Linked DNA regions of Callithrix jacchus. Each later gene encodes a partner of the first gene's protein in a complex. Links are inferred from orthologs where the notes say so. Each region holds a gene or a part of one and is shown in the gene's direction. Other genes may lie near its edges. The genes, in order: TFDP2, E2F6, LIN52, E2F2, MYBL2, RBL2 and RBL1.

What was found.
Region 2: TFDP2 (region 1) and E2F6 share a complex: the UniProt entries of both Homo sapiens proteins name them as parts of the DRTF1/E2F transcription factor complex. The link is inferred for Callithrix jacchus from reciprocal best matches to the Homo sapiens genes TFDP2 and E2F6.
Region 3: TFDP2 (region 1) and LIN52 share a complex: the UniProt entries of both Homo sapiens proteins name them as parts of the DREAM complex. The link is inferred for Callithrix jacchus from reciprocal best matches to the Homo sapiens genes TFDP2 and LIN52.
Region 4: TFDP2 (region 1) and E2F2 share a complex: the UniProt entries of both Homo sapiens proteins name them as parts of the DRTF1/E2F transcription factor complex. The link is inferred for Callithrix jacchus from reciprocal best matches to the Homo sapiens genes TFDP2 and E2F2.
Region 5: TFDP2 (region 1) and MYBL2 share a complex: the UniProt entries of both Homo sapiens proteins name them as parts of the DREAM complex. The link is inferred for Callithrix jacchus from reciprocal best matches to the Homo sapiens genes TFDP2 and MYBL2.
Region 6: TFDP2 (region 1) and RBL2 share a complex: the UniProt entries of both Homo sapiens proteins name them as parts of the DREAM complex. The link is inferred for Callithrix jacchus from reciprocal best matches to the Homo sapiens genes TFDP2 and RBL2.
Region 7: TFDP2 (region 1) and RBL1 share a complex: the UniProt entries of both Homo sapiens proteins name them as parts of the DREAM complex. The link is inferred for Callithrix jacchus from reciprocal best matches to the Homo sapiens genes TFDP2 and RBL1.

Annotation. Positions count from the first base shown.
Region 1 is NC_133518.1:42,562,690-42,566,519, forward strand, and holds part of TFDP2 (transcription factor Dp-2), read left to right. Parts: intron 1-787; coding exon 788-950; intron 951-3,830. UniProt on the Homo sapiens protein: Can stimulate E2F-dependent transcription.
Region 2 is NC_133515.1:103,596,095-103,599,924, forward strand, and holds part of E2F6 (transcription factor E2F6), read left to right. Parts: intron 1-667; coding exon 668-823; intron 824-2,273; coding exon 2,274-2,388; coding exon of another isoform or gene 2,389-2,392; intron 2,393-3,830. UniProt on the Homo sapiens protein: Inhibitor of E2F-dependent transcription. Binds DNA cooperatively with DP proteins through the E2 recognition site, 5'-TTTC[CG]CGC-3'. Has a preference for the 5'-TTTCCCGC-3' E2F recognition site.
Region 3 is NC_133509.1:109,031,436-109,035,704, forward strand, and holds the start of LIN52 (protein lin-52 homolog), read left to right. Parts: upstream 1-1,161; 5' UTR 1,162-1,168; coding exon 1,169-1,199; intron 1,200-4,269.
Region 4 is NC_133508.1:60,271,456-60,275,285, reverse strand, and holds part of E2F2 (transcription factor E2F2), read left to right. Parts: intron 1-3,197; coding exon 3,198-3,390; intron 3,391-3,830. UniProt on the Homo sapiens protein: Transcription activator that binds DNA cooperatively with DP proteins through the E2 recognition site, 5'-TTTC[CG]CGC-3' found in the promoter region of a number of genes whose products are involved in cell cycle regulation or in DNA replication.
Region 5 is NC_133506.1:39,048,119-39,052,403, forward strand, and holds the start of MYBL2 (myb-related protein B), read left to right. Parts: upstream 1-1,254; 5' UTR 1,255-1,291; coding exon 1,292-1,356; exon of another isoform or gene 1,357-1,359; coding exon of another isoform or gene 1,360-1,373; intron 1,374-3,334; coding exon 3,335-3,428; intron 3,429-4,285. UniProt on the Homo sapiens protein: Transcription factor involved in the regulation of cell survival, proliferation, and differentiation. Transactivates the expression of the CLU gene.
Region 6 is NC_133521.1:11,390,809-11,394,638, forward strand, and holds part of RBL2 (retinoblastoma-like protein 2), read left to right. Parts: intron 1-2,750; coding exon 2,751-3,020; intron 3,021-3,214; coding exon 3,215-3,495; intron 3,496-3,579; coding exon 3,580-3,756; intron 3,757-3,830. UniProt on the Homo sapiens protein: Key regulator of entry into cell division. Directly involved in heterochromatin formation by maintaining overall chromatin structure and, in particular, that of constitutive heterochromatin by stabilizing histone methylation.
Region 7 is NC_133506.1:2,312,885-2,317,297, forward strand, and holds the end of RBL1 (retinoblastoma-like protein 1), read left to right. Parts: intron 1-1,641; coding exon 1,642-1,812; 3' UTR 1,813-3,744; downstream 3,745-4,413. UniProt on the Homo sapiens protein: Key regulator of entry into cell division. Directly involved in heterochromatin formation by maintaining overall chromatin structure and, in particular, that of constitutive heterochromatin by stabilizing histone methylation.

The DNA of each region.
Region 1 (3,830 bases):
TAAATCTTGTCCCATTGGAAGGTCCTCAGGGGCAGTAACATGCATGGAGCTGTCATCTCCTGTGATAACAATGCCTTCTTCCGGATACCTCCTGAAGGATTGCCTGAAGCTTTTTACAGTTTAATTTATAATTTGAAGAAGTACGCTCTAAAATAATGATGAAAAGTGTAGTTTAGTAAATATGGTAACCCGTAACATAGTCATTTATTATCAAGTATTATGTACTGTCCATAATTGCACATGCTAGACTTCTTTAGCACTGGCAGTGCAGTAGCTTTGTTGCCAGCGTCAGGGTAATGCAGTATGCTATGGCATTACAATGTCTACTGCATCACTAGGCAATGAGAATTTTTCAGCTCCATTGGAATCCATTGGAACAGGGGACCACTGTTGTATATGCAGCAAATGACTGTAGTTTTAATTTCAGTAAAAAATCATATAATCTACATAGAATACAAAAAGATACGTATGTTAGCTGTACAAGGGCAGAGTTTCTGTGTTTCTTTCACTGACTTATTCTCAGTGTCAGTAACAGTATCTGGCACAGAATAGTAACTGTTCAGTAAACATTTGTTGAATAAATAAATGATGGGCATAGAAAAGCACTCTAACTTCATATTTTATTAGGCCCTTAAGGCAAAAAGTAAGTTTAAATAAACATTTTCTCATCTCTGTTAAATTTTTGCCATATGAAGCAAAACTTAAATTACTGTCTTCTTGCATTATCTTACAGAGATTTGTAAAGGAAGTCTCTAATATGTGTAATGGAGTAAATTTTCTCTTCTAGTAAACGGAGCAAAAAAGGAGATAAAAATGGGAAAGGCTTGAGACACTTTTCAATGAAAGTGTGTGAGAAAGTTCAACGAAAAGGTACAACATCATACAATGAAGTCGCTGATGAGCTGGTGTCAGAGTTCACCAATTCAAATAACCATTTGGCAGCTGATTCGGTAGGTAGACCATGAACCTGCCGTTGATTTTGATGGATGATGCTACTTTCTTTGTGTTAGCCGTGTAATAGATTTGAGGAATCAGATAAGCGAGGTGAATGACTATACTTTAGAGTTTCATCCTGTATTTGGGGGGATTTTTTTGTTGTTGTTGAGTTTTATTTTGTAGGGAATTCTTTTTTTAGGCGGAGTCTCACTCTGTTGCCCAGGCTGGAGTGCAGTGGCACAATCTCAGCTCACTGCAACTTCACCTCCTGGATTTAAACGATTTTGCTGCCTCAGCCTCCTGAGTAGCTTGAATTACAAGCACCTGCCACCACGCCCAGCTAATTTTTGTATTTTTAGTAGAGACAGGATTTCACCATGTTGGCCAAGGCTGGTCATGAACTCCTGACCTCAAGTGATCCACCCGCCTCAGCCTCCCAGAGTGCTGGAATTACAGGCATGAGCTACTGCGCCTGGCCACCAGTAATTTTTTTATGTTTCTGAATCTTATTGTTTCTTCAGTGTCTAAGTCAACAAAAAAATTTTATTTTTAATTGGAAAAGGAATACAGAAATATGTTTATTAAAAATTCAGTTGCAGCCGGCCGTGGTGGCTCACACCTGTAATCCAAGCACTTTGGAGGCAAAGGCGGGCAGATCACGTGAGGTTGGGAGTTCAAGATTAGCGTGACCAACATGGTGAAACCTCATCTTTAAAAAAGAAAAAAAAGATAAAAATTCAGTTGTCTGGCAGAGTCTCAAATAAATGCAGTGCAGTGGTGTAATTTTGGCTCACTGAACACTGCCTCCTAGGTTTGAGTGATTCTTGTGCCTCAGCCTCCTGAGTAACAGGGAACAAAAATGGCAAGGCTCTGCCTCTACAGAGAGAAAATTTATTTATTTAATTTTTTTTTTATGAGATAGGGTTCTCACTATGTTGCCACAGGCTGATTTTGAACTCCTGAACTCAAATGATCCTCCAGCCTCAGCCTCCCAAAGTGCTGGCATCACAGGCATGAGTCACCATGCCCGACCTCTACAAAAAAAAAAATTTTTTTTTAATTAGCCAGATGTGGTGGCACAAACCTGTAGTCTCAGCTACTCCAGAGGCTGAGGAGGATTGTTTGAGCCCAGGGATTCAATCATGCATTACAGCCTGGGTGACAAAGCAAGACTTAATCTCTTTAAAAAAGTGTGTGTGTGTGTGTGTGTGTCTATGTGTCTATGACTTATACTCTTGAGCACTGATTTAGCCCTTGATTCTGATATATCGTTCTTTAAATATTCTGTAATTTTGGATTGAATTTGTTCTTTGATCTAAGAATTGCCTTAGAAAGAGTTCTTATAGTTACAAATGTTTTTCTTTTCTTTTTTTGCTTATTTGTTGCCTTAAAGTTTTACTTTTCATACTTAATTTGACCAGATAATATGATTTGAACTATTTCCCTTTTCTGTGGATTATATTTTTTCCTTGGGAGCCATGATATAGTGATTTTCTTTCCTTTTAATGTTCTCTAACCACTTGAAAAAGAAAAATATAGGGCCGGGCACGGTGGCTCAAGCCTGTAATCCCAGCACTTTGGGAGGCTGAGGCGGGTGAATCATGAGGTCAAGAGATTGAGACCATCCTGGTCAACATGGTGAAACCCCATCTCTACTAAAAATACAAAAAAATTAGCTGGGCATGGTGGCACGTGCCTTTAATCCCAGCTACTCAGGAGGCTGAGGCAGGAGAATTGCCTGAACCCAGGAGGCGGAGGTTGCGGTGAGCCGAGATCGCACCATTGCACTCCAGCCTGGGTAGCAAAAGTGAAACTCTGTCTCAAAAAAAAAAAAAGAAAAGTATATAGCATTCTGTTTCTGAGTGAAAGCCTTGGTTCTAACAATGAGCTACAAGCTGCTTTGTGATCTTGCCCACCATTACCTCACTAATCTTGTCCTCTCCTGTGCACTTTCTCATTTACTATCCTCCAGCCACATGTCACTACGCTCCAGCTACATGTTTTGTTCCTGATCGGGCCATTGCACTTGCTGTTTCCTTTGCCTAGAGCACTCTGTGCTATGTATCCATATGGCTTCTCCCTCCATGCCCTGTGATCTCCACTCACCTGTCACCACAATGAAGCATTTCTTCTTAGTACTTTTCAACATATAAAATACATTTTTATTAATACCCGAACACCACCACCTTCCCAGGATACAAACAAAGGTTGAGTTTTTCCCCTCTTTGTTCACTGCTTTGTGATTTTTCTGATGATTTAGGGTGCTTGTAGTCTCTAGTTCTTCAGTTGGTTACCTTTATAACTTAAGTTCCTTGAGTTATCACCTGTAGACAGTGTCTATTGGTTATGAAGAAAAATGTATGTTTATTTTTATCTTCCATTTTTCTCTTCTACCATAAGATTCAGATTAGATATTTTAGTATATTTGTTAAAAGAATAAGAATACTATTACAGGCCAGGCACAGTGGTTCACGCGTATAATCCCAGCACTTTGGGAGGCCGAGGCAGGTGGATCAATCACAAGGTCAAAAGTTTGACACCAGCCTGGCCAACATGGTGGTACGCACCTATAATTTCAGCTACTCGGGAGGCTGAGGCAGGAGAATCATTTGAACCCAGGAGGCAGAGTTTGCAGTGAGCCTAGATGGTGCCATGCACTCCAGCCTGGTGACAGAGCAAGACTCTGTCTCGGAAAAACAATAATAATACTATTAGAATTGTTTGTATTACTTTAAATCAACAGATCGTGCTGAACCTTTTATAATTATTTAATCTGCTTTGAACAATATCCGTATCCCTTCCAGTATCAAAAAGAGGAAATTGGCATACCTACTGCATTTCCTCCTCCTGGTACTTCTTATAGTATCATTTTTTTCTATAATGTCAATATTTCC
Region 2 (3,830 bases), on another chromosome or scaffold:
GTGCACTACCATGCCCAGCTAATTTTTATATTTTCAGTAGAGACGGGGTTTCACCATGTTGGCCAGGCTGGTCTCAAACTCCTGACCTCAGGTGATCTGCCCTCCTCAGCCTCCCAAAGTGCTAGGATTACAGGTGTGAGCCACCAAGCCTGGCCAGAAAATACGTCTTTTTTATGATAATGAATATAACTGTTGTATTCAGATGGAATGCATACACTAGGGAAAAATACAGACTCATCACATTTTAGCAGAGGAACCATCATTTAGCCAACACTTTTTTTTTTCATATGTAGGAATTCAAGTACTATAAGATTGCCACTAACTTACCAGAAGCTGTGTTGTAAGTATAGGACTGAGGCTTAAGCTGGATATTACTGACTCTTAGTTCAGTGCTCTTTCTGCTTCCTTAGGCTGTCTCTGCTATTATTAATTTCTGTTAGAGTGTAATGTATTTTTTATTTTTTGCAAAAGACTGTAAGAGGAACTATGAATAATTTATATACAGGAGGAATAATGGCTGTCTAGAACAAAGACGGCAGAAGTTGAAAGTCCCTACTTTCTGTTGTGGAAAACACCCATGGTAAACATTTGAGGTTCCATAACCTAACGTCAAATTCCTTTGTTATCTCCTAGTTGGTATTGATGGTGATTTTTTTTTCTTTTAAAGAGGATCTGATCTTAGCAATTTTGGAGCAGTTCCTCAACAAAAGAAGCTGCAGGAGGAACTTTCTGACTTATCAGCAATGGAAGATGCTTTGGATGAGTTAATTAAGGATTGTGCTCAGCAGCTGTTTGCGTTAACAGATGACAAAGAAAATGGAAGATATCCTTTAAGTCTGTACGTTTTTAAAATTTCTCCTTCCAGAGCAGATTACTTAGATAGTAGAGTCAGCTTGGGGACTTAATTTATATATTTAAAATATAAAATTAGACCATTGCAAGCTAAAGTAATACAAAATTAGCCGGGCGTGGTGGCGCATGCCTGTAATCCCAGCTACTCGTGAAGCTGAGGCGGGAGAATTGCTTGAACCTGGGGGGGTGGAGATTGTGGTGAGCCAACATTGTGCCATTGCAAGAACGAAGCTCCATCTCAACAAAAAACAAGTTTAAGTAAGTACAAGTTGGTAGTGTAGCCTCAAACATACACAGCGTACGCAGTAGGTTGTTTTAACTTCGGTGTGGCGTTTCTTAGATTAAATTCTGGAAGATGACCTCGGGTATAGTATCAAACCAAGGTCAATGCTGCCACTTAAAACAGTGGAGCATTCATTTTTATAGTCTGAATACTGTAAAGATAATAAATTTTTGTTGGCTTTTGTGAAATTCATGTTTTTCCTAGAAATTTGTAAACGGAAGTTGATTCTGAAACAGAGTGAATTGCCATTGAAGTAAGTGGTGCTTCAACTGCCATTTGTGTCCACAGAAGCATGTTTTGCTTAATAGCAGTTTTCCTTTGAAACTCAGTGTCTCTGGGAACTGGGGAATGGGCCTGGGGGAGCCTTGTCTTTGGTACTGACCTCCTAGGTGTCTTAGACCTGTACACTGTGCTGTTCCCGTGGTACCCTTTGTGAGGGGGTCACTGATTCTAAGATATTCCATACCTCAGATTTACTTAAAACTCTCTAGCAGTCAGAAACCTCTATTCCTACAGTACAGTTATTGGAAGGAAAAGAAAAATAAGCACCAACATTACTGCAGCCAATTGGGAAAAAAAACAGTGCTAGGGAAACCCAGTAAATTTGAGGTAAAATTTGAGACAGTACAGTGAAACAGGACGAAAGAGACTCAGATAGTGAGAAGGAAAATCATTTCGGATGAAGTAATGAACATAACAGTCTTGAGAAACAGTCTCTAAGTTGTTTACACCTTTTTATGGATTTTAGGGGATGAGTCCTGAATGTTTTTTCTTAAAGTTATAGTAAGATCTAGCTTACTGTAGCTGAAAAGGGAATCAAATGAAAATTTGAATTTCTTCATGAGCTATATTTGTGTTAGGGATTTGGACTTTATTAATATTTTTCTCTAGAAATTATCATTATAATAGTATAGCTTAAACTCTTTAGGTTGAGGAAATATTGTAAAACACTACAAAATCTTTGTGAATAATAAAAATGATCAATGAATTTTTTTTTTACTGCTTTCCTTCATTGTGAACTTGTATCTCATAAAAACTAAAGACATTCTAACATTACCCTTGTGTTACTGAGTTACTAGAGATAAATTATCTCCCCAATAAATAGCATTCTGCATAGAGATCCTTGACTGAGTTTTACACTAGCATATGTGACATATCAAGACATTCATAGCATTCAGGCCTTCCACGAACAGATCGTCATTGCAGTCAAAGCTCCAGCAGAAACCAGATTGGATGTTCCGGCTCCCAGAGAAGTAGGTAACCCTGCATTTTTAAAATATCCAAGGCCAGGCGCCATGGCTCATGCCTGTAATCTCAGCACTTTGGGAGGCCAAAGCAGGCGGATCATGAGTTCTGGAGATTGAGACCATCCTGGCTAACACACTGAAACGCTGTGTCTACTAAAAATACAAAAAATTAGCCGGGCGTGATGATAGGCGCCTGTAATCCCAGCAACTTGGGAGACTGAGGCAGGAGAGTTGCTTGAACCTGGGAGGCAGAGTTTGCTTCAGAGCCGTTGTGTGCATGTGCACTGTGTGTCTCATACTGACACTGCTCAAGGCACTTCATACCCTTTAACTTGTTTCAACTAACAACAAATCAAGTAGTCATTATTCTCATCTTAAAGATGAGGAACCGAAAGCTCACAAGATGAGTTATCTTTGTCAGGATCACCAGAATTCAGACCTGGTTAAGGTGGCTTCATAGTTGCTTCTTAGAAGAACCACCAAGAATTTTCCTCTCTTAAAGTTCCAAAAGTAAGGTGTGGTCTCAGCCAGGGCACTGGGGACTTTGGGCTTTTTCCCTATGCCATGAGCTGCTTCAGACTGTAATTGCTGAATCTGGCTGAGCCTTTGATCATGCCTGAGGCTTCTCTTAGAGTCTCATTTCAAGTCTGTGCACATGGGCCCAATTGACCAGAGCCTGACCATGAAGATGTGGGGGTTGGCAAACTGACCTTCTTGTTCTTAGAAATACTTTTATCAGGACACAGCTACATGCCCATTTGTTTACATACTGTGTCTCTGGCTGCTTTTATACTATAGTGGCAGAGTTAAGGGATTGTGACAGGGATAGTATGACTTGCAAAGCCAAAAATATTTACTGGCTCACCCTTTACAGAAGTTTGACAACTAGTTTAGTGGAATGTGAAGTCCTCAGCTGGCTTCCAGTTGAGAGTAACATTAGTTCCTTTTACTGTTTAGAAATATCTGTTAAATTGTATGGGATTTACCATTCAAACCAGATGTGACCTGGCACTCTAGAAGCTGAGCACAGATATTCCCTAGCCCACTTGCTGGGTACTAGAAAGTCATAGCAAGGACAAGTGAGGGTCTGAGACCGTCTGAGAGGCTGCATCTCCCCATACTCACCCTGGTATGAGATCACAGTGCAGTGAAGAGCAGGAGGGAGCAGTGGTGTCTGTGTGTCCAGCCCAGGCCTAACTGCACTAAACAGGAGAAAACAGACTTTGTTACAGTTAGACTAGCTCCCAGTTAAAGCAGTCATTTATAACCGGAGCTGTTCCTTAAGAATTTAGCATAATTCCCAGTAGAAGCACTCAAATTGCCTGATACCATATGGAAAAAGTATTTTGATGAATCCTGAGGAAATTTGAAATCAAAGGATGTGAAAATCATAATGAGTTAATAACAGTCCTTGATAAATAATCCTAACTATCTTTTTGATGTTTTAC
Region 3 (4,269 bases), on another chromosome or scaffold:
CCTTTGGTGAATACCTGGAGTACACGTCTAGAAGGAGATTCAAAGTTCATACACTTACCCTCTCCCCTCACATCCCCTCTCCCCCTTACCTCGGATCAAGGAAAGTGAAGTAGGGTGGGGAAAGGGAGCAATGGCAACGTGGACGCTCACGGCAGGGAAAGAGTAATCAAAAAGAGTAGTTCTCGGGGGAGAGAGAGAAGGCTGGTGCAGAGGTGAAAAGGAAAGACGGTGGACGGATGGAGTGGTGAGGGCAAGAGAGTGACAGCAGGGACCGGGCAGGGCTGGAGGAGAGTGGGCGAGAGCCAGAAAAGAGGAGGCTCAGGAGTAAAAGGGTGTAAGGCCAAGAGTAACAGCTCGGGTGGGATCCGGGACGAGGTAGGGTATGAAGTGAGAGCTGCGCATGGGACAGGGCCGCACAGGTCGCGTAGGAACACGAGGTCCGGCCAAAAAGGGGCTGGGCCAAAAAGGTGGTCCCGCCCGAGGATGGTTCACGGAGTGGACGGAAAAGATCTAAGTCCTGGCTTCATGGTCCCTTGGCACCACCCTCACTCGCCTGCAGGATCCGGGCTCGCACTGCCGCCGCCGCCACCACCGCCGCCATGGCTCTCGGCCTCCCTAGCTCCGCACCCTGCGCCTCTACTGCTCAGAAGCACTACAGCTGCCAGGCCTCGCCCTCCATCCTGACTGGCTTCCTCATTGGTGGGTAGGACTATTTTTTCCAGCCAGTCACGCGAACCAACACCTGATTCCGCCCCTCACACGCCAGTCCTGTGAATAAGTGATTGGTCAGGAGCGAAAAAGGTCTCGCCCTCTCCCACTTCAGCCAATGCTGTTGGCGGAGGTAGAGAAGACGCCCCTGACTTGGACACTCCATACTGTGCACACGGGGAAGACGCCCCCTAACCCGGAACTCCGATTGGCCAAGGGCGCAACCGAGGCCCCGCCCTCTCACCGAGAAAAGTAAATAAGACCCTCCAAGAATTTTGCAGTCGCTCCACCTCAACAACTGCGCGAGGGGCGTGGCTATAATTAGGGGCGGGGATAGGCAAATGTTGCCCTATGAGGCGAGGGAATGAGACTAGGCTGTGAGTTGGGGATAGGGTTTCTCTTTGGGGGAGTGGCTTATGGATCCTCGTTTTCCCGCCGACGGTTGGCCATGTCACGTGACATGGGTTGGAAGATGGCGTCTCCCACAGACGGTAAGAGCCGGCTTGTAGATCTTTGCCTGCAGCCTCCTTCTTTGCTCTACCGGCAACGTCTACTCTGTCTCTGCCCCTCAAACATACATTTCTTTCTTGGGCTCTTCTCCTTTCCCTTTTACTTTTTTTCTTGAGATCCATCGCCGTCTTCAGCTCACTGGTTCTTCACAGCGGCTCCGGAGGTGCCCAGTTTCCCCGCTCTGTACCAGGCGTGTGGAGGAGGGCACCAGGGAGGGACTCACTTTGGGTAAAAGGACAGGGGGTTGCCCTGATCCTTCCTTGTCTCTATTTGGGTGAGGCTGAGAGCCTCGGAGGAGATGTTAGTGGAGGAAAGGACGTGCCTTAAACTAGTCTCCTCCTTGGAGTATCACACTGAGGGATCAGTTTTCTTCTGATTGAGCGCAGGGATGGAACGATTCTCACAAACTCTAGCAGTGGCTGCTGGCTGACCTCATCTCGATACTGAACCGCAAGAGAAACATGATCTCTCTCCTGTCTCTTGTTTGGGACCACTGCCGTGGCAGCAAGATAATCGGGGGACGTTCTCGGCCCCTCACCGTGAGAGTCGCGAGGAGAATGAGTATTGAGCTTTTAAGTGTTGTCTTGCACAGGTCGCAACCTCTTTTGCATCTGCTTTTTGTGTTGTTTCTTCAGGCTGAGTGAATGAACGATTTCTGTTTATGTATTGTAAAATGCAAGTCATTTCAAGTAACAATTAGGTTGTCTTGGTATATTCCTATGCTTTTGGTCTCGGTTCTGCTTTAGAGAGTTAGGGTCTTGCAGTCATTTTTAAACTCATTTTTGTTTCTGTCGTTCCCATCCCAACTATATATATCGATTTCATTGATATATAGGTTTCCCTCCCTTAGACAAACACATTTTGTATTTGGAAGGAATCTTGAAAGTTCATTACAGGAATGAGGAAATTGAAGCCAAGGTGAGCTTTATTAAGTACCTGCTACATGAAACGCATAATGCTAGGTGCTTTGAGATTCCAAAAGATTACTCAAACATATAAATATTTTTTTTTCAATTTCAGATCTTTTTTTAGATGTCACCTCCCAAAGAGTCTCTTAGAACACAGGATCTGGAGTCGCTCTTCCCCACCATTATTCATTATCTCAGTGTCTTCCTTGTCAGCATAGTAATTCTGTTAACTTTGCCCCTTTTATGCTAGATTATAAATTTCAAGTTTGTCTTGTTTATAGTTGGATCCCAGGGTTTAGCACAGTGCCTGGTGAACAGTAGGTCTTTAATTAGCATTTATTGAAAGATTGATTAGATATATGCAGAAATAATATATTACTTGATCTTAAGTTTTAAGATCTTGGGAGGCTGAGGCGGGCAGATTGCCTGAACTCAGGAGTTCAAGACCAACCTAGACAACATGATGAAGCCCAGTCTCTACAAAAAAAAAATACAAAAATTAGCTGGGCATGGTGCCACACACCTGTAATCCCAGCTACTTGGGGGGCTGAGGCAGGAGAATCTCTTGAGCCCTGGGGTGGAGGCTGCAGTGAACCATGTTCATGCCACTGCACCAGGCTGGGTGACAAAGCGAAACCCCCGTCTCAACAACAACAAAAAAGAAATTATGGATGTTTGGAGTCAAAAGAGAGTCTCCTGCCTGGGTGCTCTCTTGCTGAAATGTCCTTCTCTTGCCAGAAAGAAGGGCATTTAAAAAGCAAGGCGAGGGAATAGGGAGTTACTGTTAACAGGTACCAAATTTCAGTTTAGGTAGGTGAAAAACATTCTGGAAATGAATGTGCTGATGATTGCACAATTAATGTACTTAATACCACTGAACTGTATACTTAAAAGTTGTTAAAATGGTCAAATTTATGTATATTTCACCACAATTTAAAATAACAAAGCCAAGTGATAGAAGTAGAGGTAATTGTTATTAAATTTTTTAGTTTATTTTTAAATTGTTTTTACAGATTTGGGGGATTTTAAAGATGTGTTTCTTGAGTTGGATTTTTTCCCCTGTCTTCTCAATTTAGTTTCCTTTCTTTGGCCAGGAAGAGTATTAAAAACATTGTATGTTTTTCCTTTGGTCTTCTAGCCATCTTTATGGTCACTTTATTTGCACTCTTTATTTTTTAAGTTTTCATTCTTATCTCTTACAGAGTTTCACTCTTCTCCACCTAATCTTTTCTTTTTAATCTGACAAAATCAAGTCGAGCACTTTGAACTTAATTAAATTCATCTTCTAAATAAGTAACTCATTCTAAAATATTCCATGGCCTAGCTCTCTCACTTCTATTTTTAGTGTTCCACCTGTCACTGTCTTTAAAATTTAATTCAAACAATATTGATTTAAAAATGTTTTTTATTTACTCTTTTGTCTTTTTCATGCTAAATTTGCTGGAACTTCTTTGAAAAGGAGAAAACTGAAATTCAAATACAGCCATCTAATTACTTAATTTGTGAGAGTAAGACTCACAGCAGAGTTCTGTCCCAGATTGTGGTATCATAAGGTCACCGGTGTAGGTTATAGATCCTACCCTCAATGATTTTTTTTTAAATTTTCTTTTAGAGACAGGGTCTCTCTCACTCTATTGCCGGTGCTGAAATGCAGTGGTATGATTATAGCTCCCAGCACACTGAAAGGCTTAAGCTATCATTCCATCTCAGCTTCCCAAGTAGCTGATACTACAGGCTCACACCACCATGCCCAGCTAATTTATTTTTGTTATTATTTATTTTGTTTTGAGATGGAGTCTCATACTGTCATCCAGGCTGGAGTGCCATGGCACCATCTTGGGTCACTGCAACCTCTGCTTCCTGGGTTCAAGTGATTCTCATGCCTCAGCCTCTCCAATAGCTGGGATTATAGGCACATGCCACCACACCTGGCTAATTTTTGTATTTTTAGTAAAGATGGGGTTTCACGGCCGGGTGCAGTGGCTCACGCCTGTAATCCCAGCGCTTTAGGAGGCGGAGGTGGATGGATCACAAGGTCAAGAGATCGAGACCATCCTGGCGAACATGGTGAAACCCCATCTGTACTAAAAATACAAAAATTAGCTGGTCGTGGTGGTGCGTGCCTGTAGTCTCAGCTACTCGG
Region 4 (3,830 bases), on another chromosome or scaffold:
ATGCACACTCATGCCTACACATGACGATGTCAGTACTCATGAAAATCCTTTCGTGCTGACCATGCTTTCCCAGGTTGAAGACCAAAATTCCTGACACTCCCTATAAGGCCTCAGTGCTCTGACCCCAGCTGACCTTGCCAACCTCCTTCTCCCTGCTGTCCCATCTATCTTTGTTTTGGCCACACTGATCTGTCTGCAGTTTCCCCATTGCACTAAGCTCATTCCTAGTGTGAGATCTGTTACATTTTATTTATTTTTTGAGATGGAGTCTCATTCTTTTGCCCAGACTGGAGTGCAATGGCGTGATCTCAGCTCACTGCAACCTCCGCCCCCCAGGTTCAAGCGATTCTCCTGCCTCAGCCTCCTGAGAGCTGGGATTACAGGTGTGTACCACCACACCTGGCTAATTTTTGAATTTTAAGTAGAGACAGGTTTCACCATGTTGGTCAGGTTGGTTTTGAACTCCTGATCTCATGATCTGCTCACCTTGCCCTCCCAGAGTGTTGGGATTGCAGGCATGAGCCACCGCACCCGGCCTTTTTTTTTTTTTTTTTTGAGGACAGGGTCTTGCTCTGTTTCCCAGACTGGAGTGCAGTGGCATGATCTCAGCTCACTGCAACCTCTGCCTCCCGGCCTCAGGCCGTCCTCCCACCTCAACCTCCTGATTAGCTGGGACCACAGGTGTGTGCCACTATGCCTAGCTAATTTTTTGTATTTTTTGTAGAGATGAGGTTTTGCCATGTTGTCCCGGCTGGTCTCAAACTCTGGTACAGAAGTGATTTGCCCATCTTGGCCTCCCACAGTGCTGGAATTATAGGTGTGAACCACTGCACCTAGTCTTGCAAGACCTTCATACATGCTGTTTCCTCAACTGAAATGCTCTTCTCTTTATGCCTGGTTTATTGCTATTCATCCTACAGATCTCAATTCAAATGTCACTTTCTCAAGGAAGCCTTCTCTGATTACGCAGACTTTATAACCGCCTGTGCTTTTACACTGCCTTTAGTCTCCATTTGCTGAGGTATATTTGGCATGATAACATGATTGCATTCTGCTTCATCTATTAGAGTGTAAGCTTCACAAGGGAAAGTTCTGCTCACCTTGTATTCCCTGCCCAGAGCCTGGCATATGATAAGGGCTCAAGAAATAATTTGTTTAAAGGAAGAACTGGAGCTGTGGAGATGATTAAGTTCCCTCTCCTCCCCTGGAGAAGTTCAGGCCTTAGTGGGAAAAAGACGTGGTCATTTATAGACTGAAGATGTTGCTTTGAGAGCATAGAGAAAGGGTAGAGGAGACATCCTGGGTGGAGACAGTTAAACTAGATCTTAAAGAATGAATAGGGTTTTGGGCCGGGTGTATTGGCTCACGCCTGTAATCCCAGCACTTTGGAAGCCGAGGTGGGCAGATCATGAGGTCAAGAGATCGAGACCATCCTGGCCAACATGGTGAAACCCTGTTGCTACTAAAAATACAGAAATTAGCTGGCTGTGGTGGTGCATGCCTGTAGTCCCAGCTACTCGGGAGGCTGAGGCAGGAGAATTGCTCGAACCCGGCAGGCGGAGGTTGCAGTGAGCCGAGATGATGCCACTGCACTCCAGCCTGGTGTCTGGTGACAGAGCAAGACTGTCTGAAAAAAAAAAAAAAAAGAATGAATAGGATTTTGTTTGTTTTTGAGACGGAGTCTCACTCCATTGCCCAGGCTGGAGTACAATGGCATGATCTCAGCTCACTGCAACCTCTGCCTCCCAGGCTTAAGTGATTTTCCTGCCTCAGCCTCCTGAGTAGCTGGGATTACAGGTCCACACCATCAGGCCCAGCACATTTTCGTATTTTTAGTTGAGCCAGGGTTTCACTGTGTTGGTCAGTCTGGTCTCGAATTCCTGACCTCACGATCTACCCACTTCGGCCTCCCAAAGTGCTGGGATTACAGGCGTGAGCCACCGCGCCTGGCCTCCCTGGAGAAGTTCAGGGAATGGGGTTTTTGGTAGGTGCAGTTCTATGTGAGCACAGGCATGGAGACCTGGACGTGTGCCAGGATGCCATGCATGTCATCAGTTGTGGCTTAAGTTGTGGTTATGTGGTAGGGAAGAGGCAGGGTGAGAAGGCTAAATATCAGGACTCTTGGTTACAAGTAACAGAAAGTCAAGTCCAACTGGCTTAAGCCGTAGGTGTGGGTAGGGGTGGTGGGAACCAAATGACAAGTTCTGGGGGAGATTCAGAGATGGCAGGCAAGGCTGGATGTATATGCTCAAACTATGACTTCAGGTCTGTTTCATGCTTTTCATCTCTCTGCTTTTCTCTGTGCTGACTCCATTCCCAGGTGGGCTCTTTCCTTGTGATGGCAGAGATAGCCTCCTTGAGATGCAGTCTCGCTCTGTTGCCCAGAGTGCAATGGCATGATCTTGGCTCACTGCAACCTCCGCCTCCTAGGTTCAAGCAACTCTCCTGACTCAGCCTCTCCAGTAACTGGGATTACAGACACCTGCTACCACGCCTAGCTAATTTTTGTATTTTTAATAGAGATGGGGTTTCACCATGTTGGTCAGGCTGGTCTTGAACTTGTTACTTCAGGTGATCCACCCGCCTTGGCCTCCTGAAGTGCTAGGATTACAGGAGCAAGCCACTGTACCCAACCTTCACGCCCAGCTACTTTTTGCATTTAGTGGAGATAGGGTTTCACCACATTGGCCAGGCTGGTCTTGAACTCCTGACCTCAAGTGATCCACCTGCCTCGGCCTCCAAAGTGCTGGGATACCAGCTCAGCAACCCCAGTGGGAAGGGGACTTCCATTTCCCACAAGTCCAGCAAAAGTCTTGGGCCTAGTGCTGGTTAGATCCACCTAAGGAGCCGAGCCATGTGCCACCCTGAACTGATCATGTCACACTAAATTTCCTGGCTGTGTCACAAGCTCACCCACTGGGATTGGGGAAGGGTGCTGCCTCCCTGCCCCAAAACTGCATGACCTGAGAGTGGGAGAAGAGTGATTTCCCACAGGAAAACCAAGGTGTTCCCCCTAAAAGAAGTGGGCTTTGGGGCCAGACAGCAGAAACAGCAAAGTCCACCCTAGGCCAGATGGACCTGGTCTCAGTGCCAGCCCAGGGGTTGAGCTTGCTCCCATGGGCAGCAGCAGCCGTGTGTGTCTGTCCATACACACTGATGCACCCAGAGCCATGACCTTGCTTCTCTTTTTCCTCCAGGACAACCTGCAGATATATCTCAAGAGCACCCAAGGGCCCATCGAAGTCTACCTGTGCCCAGAGGAGGTGCAGGAGCCCGACAGTCCTTCCGAGGAGCCCCTCCCTTCTACCTCTACCCTCAGCCCTAGCCCTGACTCTGCCCAGCCCAGCAGCAGCACCGACCCTAGCATCATGGAGCCCACAGCATCCTCAGGTAGGACTCTTGTCCAGAGGGACAGGAAGTGGGGAGAGCAACCAGCCTTAGTTTTCTCTTCTACATCAGTGTTTGTTGAAAACCTCCTGTTTTATCCAGCAGCTGAGGATGCAGTCATTCTCCCCTACATGTGTGCATTGTATTTAATGCTTTATAAAGCCTCACTAGGAAGGCCTGGATTTGAATCCCAGCCCATCCGCTTACCAGCTATGGGACCTTGGACAAGTCACTTAACCTCTCTTGGCCTCAATTTTTCTCATCTGTGAATTGGGCATAGTAATTAATACTGTCTAACTCTTAGGTTGTTGGGAGAATTAATAAGTTAATATGGTCAGGTGTGGTAGCTCACACCTATAATCCCAGCACTTTGGGAGGCCGGGGCAGGAGAATCATTTGAGGCCAGGAGTTCAAGAGCAGCCTGGGCAACACAGGGAAGACTC
Region 5 (4,285 bases), on another chromosome or scaffold:
GTTCAAGTGATCTTCCCACCTCAGCCAGCTGGGACTATAGGCTGGGTAGCTGGGATTATGGGCACATGCCACCACAACTGGCTACTTGTTTTATTTTATTTATTTATTTTGAGACGGAGTTTCGCTGGGAAACTCGCAGCGAAAAGTGCTGGGATTATAGGCGTGAGCCACCGCGCCCGGCCTAATTTTTGTATTTTTAGTAGAGATGGGGTTATAATCCCAGCACTTTGGGAAGCCGAGACGGGTGGATCACGAGGTCAAAAGATCGAAACCATCCTGGTCAACAAGGTGAAACCCCGTCTGTACTAAAAATACAAAAACTAGCTGGGCATGGTGGTTGCGCGCCTGTAGTCCCAGCTACTCTGGAGGCTGAGGCAGGAGAATTGCTTGAACCCAGGAGGCGGAAGTTGCGGTGAGCCGAGATAGCGCCATTGCACTCCAGTGTGGGTAACAACAGCGAAACTCCGTCTCAAAAAAAAAAAAAAAGTATATTATCTCACAGAAATGTCCCAGCTATCTGAGATGCTGACCGTATCAAACAGCACTGGAGGCTGGGCATGGTGGCTCACCGAGGCCAAGAGTTCGAGACCAGCCTGACCAACATAGTGAAACACCATCTCTACTAAAAATACAAAAATTAGACTCTCAAAAATAAAAAAAATAAATAGCATTGGAGCACCAGAGAGTGTACATGCAGACACCCTTCTCATCTTTGAAAAGAGTATTTGTGAGCTTCTGCTAGAAGCCAGGCCTTGTTTGTGCTGGATGCTGGAGAAGCGAAGATGGTTTCTGTCACGAGCAGTCTGGGGGCAGTTGTTTTTAAAGTCAGCTTCCTTCTGTTACTAGTATCTTCTGGATTTTTGCCTTTTATATGGCAATGGTGGTGGACCCATGAACTGGGTCAGGAATGAATTCCAGAGCCTTCTGTGACTGATGTATTGCTGGCAGTCGACACCATTTCTTCCTTTTTTCCCCCCCTTATTTATTTATTTATTTTATTTTTAAAAAACCGCTCCCTGTCCCCCATCTCTTCCTTTTCTATTCCTGAAAATTTTTTCTTTTGAAACCGGGTCTTGCCTGGCCTAAAAAATTTAATTAGTATTTCTTATCGACTACTAGGCAGCTGCTTTGCACATTTTTTTTCATTCATTTGTGGCGTATTTAGTCACTGGGCAAACATTTCTTAAGGCTTTTGGTGATAAGCCCTGGGATGCGGAGGTGGAGCTGACCTTTGTAGACTGTGTAGAGATAGGCAGTTGCAGTGTAAGGACCTGAGGCAGGAAGTTTTTCCATGTGCTGTGGAAATGTAGGAGTGACTCTAGGAAGGAATGGTGAGCTGTGGAGAACAAGGAGAAGGTAATGTGGATAGCACAGTAAGTCGCCTTTCATTTGGTCATGAGACCTAGACTTGCCTTGTTTGGAACCTGTAAGCTTCTTCCAGTTTACAAATGCATGACCTAGCAACTCAGCAGACCAAGATGATCTGATGCAGTTTCTGTTGTTGAGTTGGGGAAAGGTTACTAACTTTCCTCATGTGCCTGACATCTCTGGACGTGGATTGTGTGATTTCCATTTTTGTAACTATTACACTGGGTAAATACAAGGGCTTTTTGGAGCAACTTGGAAAATTCCCTTGTACAAGAAAAACACCCAGCCTTCAAAGCAGCTTGTACTTTTTTTTTTTTTTCCTCTGCAGCCATGTTAGAATATACTGTACACTGATTTTTCTTTCTTTTTTTTTTTTTTGTGAGACGGAGTTTAGCTCTTGTTACCCAGGCTGGAGTGCAATGGCGCGATCTCAGCTCACCGCAACCTCCGCCTCCTGGGTTCAGGCAATTCTCCTGCCTCAGCCTCCTGAGTAGCTGGGATTACAGGCACGCACCACCATGCCCAGCTAATTTTTGTATTTTTAGTAGAGACGAGGTTTCACCATGTTGACCAGGATGGTCTCGATGTCTTGACCTTGTGATCCACCTGCCTCGGCCTCCCAAAGTGCTGGGATTACAGGCTTGAGCCACCGTGCCCGGCCTCTTTCTTTTTTTTTTTTTTTTTTGAGACAGAGTCTTGCACTGTCTCCTGAGCTGGAATGCAATGGCGCCATCTCAGCTCACTGCAACCTCCATCTCCCGGGTTCAAGTGATTCTCCTCCCACAGCCTCCCAAGCTGCTGGGATTATAGGCGCCTGTATTTTTTTTTTTTTAAATCATGTATGACACCTGCTATTGAGGATAGGCGCCTGTATTTTTAGTAGAGACGGGGCTCAGTGTGTTGGCCAGGCTGGTCTCGAACTCCTGACCTCATGCTCTCTCCTCAGCCTCCCAAAGTGCTGAGATTACAGGTGTGAGCCACTGTGCCTGGCCAGTACACTGATTTTTCTTTCCATTAATTATGCCTGTGTGTAGGCAAGGATTGAAAAGGGATTTGCAAAAGAGAGAAGCGATTTGCAAAAATGGACATAAGCTGGATATGGTGGTGCACACCTGTAATCCCAGTTGCTTGGGAGGCTGAGGCAGGAGGATCACTTGAGCCCAGGAGTTCAAGATGAGTCTGGGCAACATAGCGAGACTGTCATTACAAAATAAAAGAAAAAGGGGCCGGGCGCGGTGGCTCACGCCTGTAATCCCAGCGCTTTGGGAGGCCGAGGCGGGGGTGGATCACGAGGTCGAGAGATTGAGACCATCCTGGTCAACATGGTGAAACCCTGTCTCTACTAAAAATACAAAAAATTAGCTGGGCATGGTGGTGCGTGCCTGTAATCCCAGCTACTCAGGAGGCTGAGGCGGGAGAATTGCCTGAACCCAGGAGGCGGAGGTTGCGGTGAGCCGAGATCGTGCCATTGCACTCCATCCAGCCTGGGTAAGAAGAGCGAAACTCCGTCTCAAGAAAAAGAAAAAAATCCAAGCACAAGCAACAACTTGGCCAGTTACGGTGGCTTAGGCTTGTAATGCCAGCACTTTGGAAGGCCAAGGTGGGAGGATTGCTTGAGCCTAGGAGTTGGAGTCTGCAGTGAGCTATGATTATGCCACTGCATTCCAGTCTGGGTAACAGATCCATTCTGTCTCAAGAAAAACAACAAATGGGCATAGTTACCGCTCAATTGTTGTTGTTTTTTTAGTTACTCCCGAGGTGGGAGAGTTCGAGATCACTCTGGGCCCCATGTCTGCATAAAAAATACAAACAATTAGCTGGATGTGGTGGCATGCCCCTGTAGTCCCAGCTACTTGGGAGGCTGAAGTGGGAGGATTATTTGAGTCCAGGAGTTAAGGCTGTGATCATGCCATACTGATCTCCAGCCCAGTGACATCCTTAACCTTTTGGCCTGCTTTCTCCATAGCGAGGAGTTGGATGAGCTGCACTACCAGGACACAGATTCAGATGTGCCAGAGCAGAGGGATAGCAAGTGCAAGGTCAAATGGACCCACGAGGAGGTGAGTGCCATGGGGAGGAGATGGCTGATGGTAGCTGGGGCTGGCCAGAGGAGCTGAGCCTGGAGTGTCTTCCTGATGTCCTGTCAGAGGGGATGAAGAGGAGGAGCCAGTGAAAGGATAGGTCCTCTGGGGGACTTAATTCTGAGGACTCGGTGGATGGGAAGGGGATGTGTGTCTCAGACCTTAGGGCCCATTGTGTCTCCTCAGCAGCTGGGATGTTCTGTTTCATGGACGTTGATTATGCTTCTTGCCATTTGACTGCTAGGAGGTTTGGCCAAGCCTGTAATTTCCCGCTTTCTTCTTTTTTTTTGTCGGGGGGTGAGATGGAGTTTTGCTCTTGTCACCCAGGCTAAAGTGCAATGATAAGACCTCCTTGGGTCACTGTATCCTCCGCCTCCCGGGTTCAAGCAGTTTTCCTGTCTCAGTCTCCCAGTAGCTGGGATTATAGGCATGAGCCACCACACCTGGCTAATTTTTGTAATTTTAGTAGAGTCGGGGTTTCACCATGTTGACCAGCTTTGGCCTCCTACAGTGTTGGGATTACAGGCGTGAACCACTGCCCCCAGCCAACTCTCCCTTTCTTTTTCTAAAAAACTATTGAACCTTGTAACATGAAGCCTGACTTGGTTTTCTTCTAGCTCCATCTTTTTGTTCTTTTTTTTGAGACGGAGTTTCGCTGTTGTTCCCTAGGCTGGAGTGCAGTGGCGCGATCCTGGCTCACCGCAACCTCCGCCTCCTGGGTTCAAGCAATTCTCCTGCCTCAGCCTCCTAAGTAGCTGGGATTACAGGCACATGCCACCATGCCCAGCTAATTTTTTGTATTTTTAGTAGAGACGGGGTTTCACCATGTTGGCCAG
Region 6 (3,830 bases), on another chromosome or scaffold:
TCTGTAAAATTTTTACGGCAAATACATATTACAGGAGAAATAGAAATGCCTTCTTAAAGACAGAGCTACATGATCCAGTTAGGTACAGACAAACCCGTGAGTTAAGACTACTGAGTATGTTCCACTTGGTCTGTTGAGATGTGCTACCCTAGTTAATGTGACACTAGTGCTGGTCCAAGAAATACAGAAAAGGGCAGTTTTGCTGTGCATCTGGTTTATACTTTTTAGGCAGCTGCTTGGAAGATCTGCAATATGAAAGGTTGAAGTTTAAATAGAACTACCTTTTAAAGAGCAATTCAGTAAATCCAGAGAGTTCTAAATCCTTGGATGCAATTAAAAGAATATTCTTATTTCTAGATCAGTTTTATAATGTAATTGATAAGAGCTGGCTGTAGAAGAAATACCAGTTTTAATGTCAGGAATCGGCCAGGTGCCGTGGCTTATGCCTGTAATCCCAGCACTTTGAGAGGCCAAGGCAGGTGGATCACCTGAAGTCAGGAGTTTGAGACCAGCTTGGCCGACAAGGTGAAACCTCGTCTCTACTAAAAATAAAAAAAAAAATTAGCCAGGCATGGTGGCGGGCATGTGTAATCCCAGCTACTTGGGAGGCTGAGGCAGGAGAATAGCTTGAACCTCGGAGGTGGAGGTTGTGGTGAGCTTGAATCAGGCCACTGCGCTTGAGCCTGGGCGACAGAGTGAGACTCTGTCTCTAAATAAATAAAGTCAGGAATCACTCTAGGATGGGCATGGTAGCTCATGCCTGTAACCCGAGCACTGTGGGAGACCTAGTAGGGAGGATCGCTTGAACCCACGAGTTCAAGACCATTCTGGGCAACATATCAAGATGCTATCTGTACAAAAAAAAATCACTCTAAGTCAGTGTATACTTAATACACATGGATGATCCATATGAAAAGTCCTCATTTTTGAAAGATCTGACAGCTGGTCTTTCTCAGTCTATTTTTGTAGAATTTTCCCTTCCCTTATTTACAGATTAAGAGGACTTAACTTTAAACTTCATTTTCTTTGCACTTATCACTTCTCAGTTTTCCTGAGATCTCTTGATATTTTATACAAAAATGATAATGTATTCTTTCTGATTCTGCAGCTTTGTACCAAATACAAATCTAGTAACTTGACTTACTTTTGTGTCATCTGGAAATAGAAATGTTAAGCTGCAGTTTATTAGGATTTACTCCTATCAATACCTCTTACGAACTTCCTACATATATTTTAAAATTTAAAAACAACTGATACACAGCTTTTAGAGGTGGACACAGAAGAAGGAAGGAATGCTTCTCAAAAATTCAGACATTGGTGTGAATACTTAAAAACAGACTAAGCCATAATGGGCTGTTCAGGTAATGAAGTTTTACAAATAGTGGTGACTGTTCTGCCATATTGTAAATGTGATTGATACCACTGAATCGTACACATAAAAATTGGTTAAAATGGTAAATTATATATATATATTTTACCACAGTGTTAAAAAACTAGCCTGTAATACCAGCACTTTGGGAGGCCAAGGTGGGCAGATCACCTGAGGTCAGGAGTTTGAGACCAGCCTGGCCAACATGGTGAAACCCCATCTCTACTAAAAATACAAAAGTTAGGCCGGGCGCGGTGGCTCAAGCCTGTAATCCCAGCACTTTGGGAGGCCGAGGCGGGTGGATCACGAGTTCAAGAGATTGAGACCATCCTGGTCAACGTGGTGAAACCCCGTCTCTACTAAAAATACAAAAAATTAGCTGGGCATAGTGGCTCGTGCCTGTAATCCCAGCTACTCTCCAGGAGGCTGAGGCAGGAGAATTACCTGAACCCAGGAGGCGGAGGTTACGGTGAGCCAAGATCGCGCCATTGCACTCCAGCCTGGGTAACAAGAGCGAAACTCTGTCTCAAAAAAAAGTTAGCCATGCATGGTGGCATACACCTGTAATCTCAGTCATTCAGGAGGCCGAGGCACATGAATCACTTGAACCCAGGAGGCAGAGGTTGTAGTGAGCCGAGGTCATACCACTACACTCTAGCCTGGGCGACAGAGTAAGACTCTATGTCTCAAAAAATAAAAATAAAAATGATTTACCTCAAACCATTGAATTGTACAATTTAAGTGGATAAAATTTATGATATATAAACTGTTTAAAAAAATAAACTATGCTTAATTGAATCCAAATCATGCACGTCCACCTTGTTTATAAAAAACTGATTAAAAAATAAACTATGCCTAATTGAATCCAAGTCATAAGTCATGCATGTCCACCTTAAGTATATTGAGTTTTAATAATATTTTATATGTGGAAAAAGACAAAGATAAAAATTGGTAAAACTGGTGGGGGAATGCTCCTAGATGACATACTACCAATCGTGTCAAGTAGTGGCTCTGTAGTAAAGTCATATCTATTACAGAAAAATGTCATACAGAGAAATAGGGTAATGAATGCCTTAAATTGCCCCTAAATCATGAAGGTTCTGTAGTAGTGGAAGACAGAGTCGAGTCTGATTAGGGAAAGGGGGATTGGAGAAAGGAACACTACAAGACAAAAAATTCCATTTTAAAATTTTGCTCTTGAAAATTCACTAATTTTCATTAGTGGAATGGAGGTAAGATATGACTTCTGTAATTCTTGTTTGCTTTTTGATTTATGAAAACATAATTTCAAACACTGTAGTAATTTTTGAACCTGACAACTTGGATGGAAGTCAGATCTGAGTCTCCTTGAGTTAAATACTTTGATTTGTTTTGACCCTAGGTGTAACATCTCCAACCACATTATATGATAGGTACAGCTCACCACCAGCCAGCACTACCAGAAGGCGGCTATTTGTTGAGAATGATAGCCCTTCTGATGGAGGGACACCTGGGCGCATGCCCCAACAGCCAATAGTCAATGCTGTCCCTGTGCAGAATGTATCTGGGGAGCCTGTTTCTGTCACACCAGTTCCTGGACAAACTTTGGTCACCATGGCGACTGCCACTGTCACTGCCAACAATGGGCAAACAGTAACCATTCCTGTGCAAGGTAAGGAAGGCAGAGCTGGATATTGAGTTCCTTCTCTGTGGCATGTATTGAAAAGTTACCCAAGGTTTGGCTAGAGTGACGCAGGGGACAGAGGAGTGATGGGGGGCGGGGTTAAGAGAGGGGAAATTGTAAACCTTTGCCTGGAGAACCCCTTATTAACATTTTCTTCAAGCTTTTTTTCTGTCACAAACTAGGTATTGCCAATGAAAATGGAGGGATAACATTCTACCCAGTCCAAGTCAATGTTGGGGGGCAGGCACAAGCTGTGACAGGCTCCATCCAGCCCCTCAGTGCTCAGGCCCTGGCTGGAAGTCTGAGCTCTCAACAAGTGACAGGAACAACTTTACAAGTCCCTGGTCAAGTGGCCATTCAACAGATTTCCCCAGGTGGCCAACAGCAGAAGCAAGGCCAGTCCGTAAGCAGCAGCAGTAATAGACCCAGGAAAACCAGCTCATTATCGCTTTTCTTTAGAAAGGTAATTTTTCACGTAACCTTACCAGAAGCATGAGCTTGGGAAATATAAGTGTTAAAGTTTGAAATGTTTTTGTTTCTCTCCTAGGTATACCATTTAGCAGGTGTACGCCTTCGGGATCTCTGTGCCAAACTAGATATTTCAGATGAACTGAGGAAAAAAATCTGGACCTGCTTTGAATTCTCCATAATTCAGTGTCCTGAACTTATGATGGACCGACATCTGGACCAGTTATTAATGTGTGCCATTTATGTGATGGCAAAAGTGAGTTTGCCATTTGGAACTGCAAAGGCAGTTCATTACCGAGAACATTTTTTAATCACTTTATTGAGATACAG
Region 7 (4,413 bases), on another chromosome or scaffold:
CCAAGAGTTGAAGGGCAACATACCAGGCCGCCATCTGTACAAAAAAATTTTTAAAAGCAAAACAATTATCTGGGTTTGGTGACATGCACCTATAGTCCCAGCTACTCAGGAGGCTGAGGTGGGAAAATCACTTGAGCCCTGGAGGCTACAGTGAGCTGTGATTGCACCACTGCACTCTGACCTGGGTGACAGAGTGGAACCCTGTCTCAAAAAACAAAAAGATTCACTTCTTCATGGACTTATATTTCTTCCTTTTGCAAATTTATTTCCCATAAGGATGTTCAGAAGAGATTGCTGCATGGAGTCAAAGATTGACTTGACTTCTAAGACAGTGATTCTGAAATCATGAATCAGAATCACCTGGGGAGCTTGTTGAATGCAGATACCTGTCCCACAGACCTTGTGAATAACAAATCATCAGCTAGCAGGTCTAGGACTCTATGACATGCTCCCTATAATTGTTATATACGTGGATTTCAAGAACCACTTCTCTGCAACCTTGTTACTCAGAGTATGGTTCATGGACCAGCAACATCAGGATCACCTGGGAGCTTGTGAGAATTCCAAAATCTCAGGCCCTACACCAGCCCTACTAATTTTGAATCTGCAGGTTAACAAGATCTTTAAATAATTAGTAAGTGCATTAAAGGTTGAAAAGCAGCTAGGCGAGGTGTCTTACACTTGTAATCCTAGCACTTTGGGAGGCCAAGAGGGAAGGATTGCTTGAGTGCAGGCGTTGAAGACTAACCTGGGCAACATGACGAAACCCCGTCTTTGCTAAAAATACAAAAAATTAGTCAGACATGGTGGCTCACGCCTATAATCCCAGCACTTTGGGTCCCAGCACTTTGGGAGGCCAAGGCAAGTGGATCGCCCTAGGTTGGGAGTTCGAGACCAGCCTGACCAATATGGTGAAACCCCATCTCTACTAAAACTACAAAAAAAATAGCCAGGCATGGTGGCATGCACCTGTAGTCCCAACTAGGGAGGCTAAGGCAAGAGAATCGCTTGAATCCAGGAGGCAGAAATTGCAGTGAGCCAAGATTGTGCCCTGCACTCCAGCCTAGGCAACAACAACAAAAAAGCTTCTGCTGCTTCTAGTCTGGGTACTACGCATTGAGAACTACTGTTCTACAGTAAATTCAAATTTTTTTTTTTTTTTTTTGAGACAGGGTCTCATTCTGTTGCCCAGGCTGAAGTACAGTGGCATGATCACTGCTCACTGCAGCCTCCACCTCCCCAGGCTCAGGTAATGCTCCCACCTTAACCTCTTGAGTAGCTGGGACTACAGGCACAAGCCACCACACCTGGCTGATTTTTGTATTTTTTATAGAGACTGGGTTTGCCCTGTTGCCCAGGCTGGTGTCAAACTCCTGGGCTCAAGTGATCAAACCATCTTGGCCTCTCAAAGTGCTGGTATTATAGGCCACCACACCTGGCCTTAAATCTGATTTTTTAAACTATCTGAAAAGATTAGTTCTAGCCATCCCTTATTAGGTTGTTCTAACTTTAAAAAAGAATCATTATCCCATTGTTAAGATTTGGATAGAGGATAGAGCGCAGGAAAAAACAATTAACTTGGTTGTTTGCTGCCATTTTCCCTCTCCTTCTTTTATTCACACACTTTCTGTTTCTGTACAGAGTTTGAAAGATATCAACAACATGATAAGGCAAGGTGAGCAGAGAACCAAGAAGCGAGCAATAGCCATCGATAGTGATGCAGAATCCCCTGCCAAACGTGCCTGTCAAGAAAATGATGATGTTTTACTGAAACGACTACAGAATGTTGTCAGTGAGAGAGCAAGTCATTAATGTTGTTGTTTCTGTGATAAAAGCACTTTCAGATCATTCTGCAGAAAGTTGGAGCTCTGTCCTTCAAACCTTTTTGGCCCTATAGATGGTAAATATCACTGGGTTATAAGAAAAAATTGCACAAAAATTATGTGCTTTTAATACCCAAAATGTGGTTGACAGAGATGTATTTTAAGTTGGATTGGAAAGGAATATTTTAAGTGCCTTTTAAAAATATTAATAGTCAAGGAATTTTTTTTTTAATGTGTGCTCCTTGGGTTAGTTTTCAAGATGAAATAAGGAGAAACCCTGTAACTTTTTAGCTCTCTTTTAAAAATAAATGTCTCCTTCTTCTGAGCTTTGTAATATGAGGATAAATAATCTACTTTTGGTAAGCATGCTTTCAGATATTTGTATTCTCAATTTAATTGAAGGAGAGGGTTGGTTCCCAGAGTACCTGAGCCAGAGGGTGATGTACCAGCCTGTCTCTGGCCCACTGTGGTAATTACACATCCAGGTGCCACCACCATTCAGGGTTGTCTCACCCCTTCTCATGCCTTTTCTCTCCTTGAGCAAAAGCAGATTTGCACCTGAGCCCCAGTGCTACCCTTATCCTTGCTTTTAAGCCCTAAGCCATATTAGCCTGATGTTACAAACCAAAAAATGGGCTACTTTTTCTTTTGTAAACTATCATTTTGGTTTCTGTGGCATTAACTTAATCATGCATGATCGCGTTAACTCATGTAGTTCTCAAAATTGGCAGCTGCTTCTCAACCCAGTAGAATAAAATTCAGTTAGTTATTAAAAGCTAAATTTCCTGTTAGTAAGGTAACATCTTGATGATGTATGGTATACTATTTTTCACATCGTACTATCAGTCATGTCTAATTGAGTCCCTAAGAATATTTGAAAACGTTTAAAAAACCACATAAATATCATCTCATGCCTCATAATTCTAATATATTGAATACATCAGTAAAACAGCTGATTATTACTTCCCCCAACTTTGTTCTCAGTATTATTAGTGCATCATGAGTTTCCTGCTAGTGTTTGACCACTGGGTACTCCCGAAGATGTTTTCCAGTACTAGGGATGCAGCTTTCCAAAATATCACCTCTTTAACATTTACTTTTTCTAATATGTGTCCAGAATCCAGAGGGTATGGATAAGCCATTCATAGTTTATTTTGAGAACTTTTATCAAATCTTTATGTTTCTAACTGCAAACCTTAATTTTTGAAAGGCACAATGTTTAACTCACCTGTTTTTAACCAGGCTAATTTAAAATAGTCTAAGATTTGGCTGTCACTAATTAGTATTCTCAAGAATTTTATTTTTCTATTTTTAAGAAGAAAAGGGATTTTGGTCACATTTTGCTTGTAAATGAAAATTACATCCTCATTCTTTGTGTAGTATCTACACATTGTTATAAGCCAAATAACAAAATCTGTCTTGAATCCTTGTACATATTTGTATGTCGCCATAACTGTTGTATCATTTTTATCTTCATTATTATGCAAAATGTAAATGAGCATTTGTACATTGACTGTATAAGAAACCCTGGGCTGGGTGCTGTGGCTCATGCCTATAATCCCAATACTTGGGAGACCAAGGGAGGAGGATTGCTTCAGTCCAGGAGTTCAAGACCAACTTGGGCAACATAGTGAGCCCTCATCTGTACAGAAAAATTTAAAAATTAGTTGGGCATGGTGGCATGTGCCTGTAGTCCCAGCTACTCAGGAGATTGACAGGAGAGGATCACTTGAGGCCAGGAGATTGAGGCTGTAGTGAGCTGTGATTACACCACTACACTCCATCCTAGGTGAGAGGGTGAGACCCTGTCTCAGAAAAGAAAAAAAAAAGAAATTCTGGACATGTTTTACCATTTTCAGGACTTGCTATCAATGTACATAAAATGGCTAATAAAAATTGGAATTGAGATTATTGAAAAAAACTATTTTTTATATGACTAGAACCAATTATACAGCCATCTAAAATCTGTCTTTTTAAATACCTACTTATGTCTTTAAGTTTTCTTAGTCTAACTTAATGGTTCCTGTGATTTCCAGGGTCTAGGGGGAAAACAAAAAATAACTGCGTAATGAATATAGAGTTTTTTGGGGGGGAGTGATAAAACTGTTTTGGAACTTGATATAGGTGGTATAGTTGCATAACATTGTGAATTTACTAAATGCCACTGTATTGTACACTTTAAAATGGTTAATTTTGTGTTATGTAAATTTCACCTTAGTTTTTTTTTAAGTCTTAGATATTATATTAGTCTGTTTTCACACTGCTGATGAAGACACATCCAAGACTGGAAAGAAAAAGAGATTTAATGGACTTACAGTTCCACGTGGCTGGAAGGCCTCACAATCATGGTGAAAGGCAAGGACGAGCAAGTCATATCTTACATGGATAGGGGCAGGCAAAGGGAGAGCTTATGCAGGGAAACTCCCATTTTTAAAAGAAACAGATCTTGTGAAACACATTCATTCTGGTCACCAGAACCGCCCAGGAAAGACCCGCCCCCACAATTCAATCACCTCCCACTGGGTTCCTCCAACGACACAGGAATTGTGAGAGTTACAATTCAAAATGAGATTTGGGTGAAGACACAGCC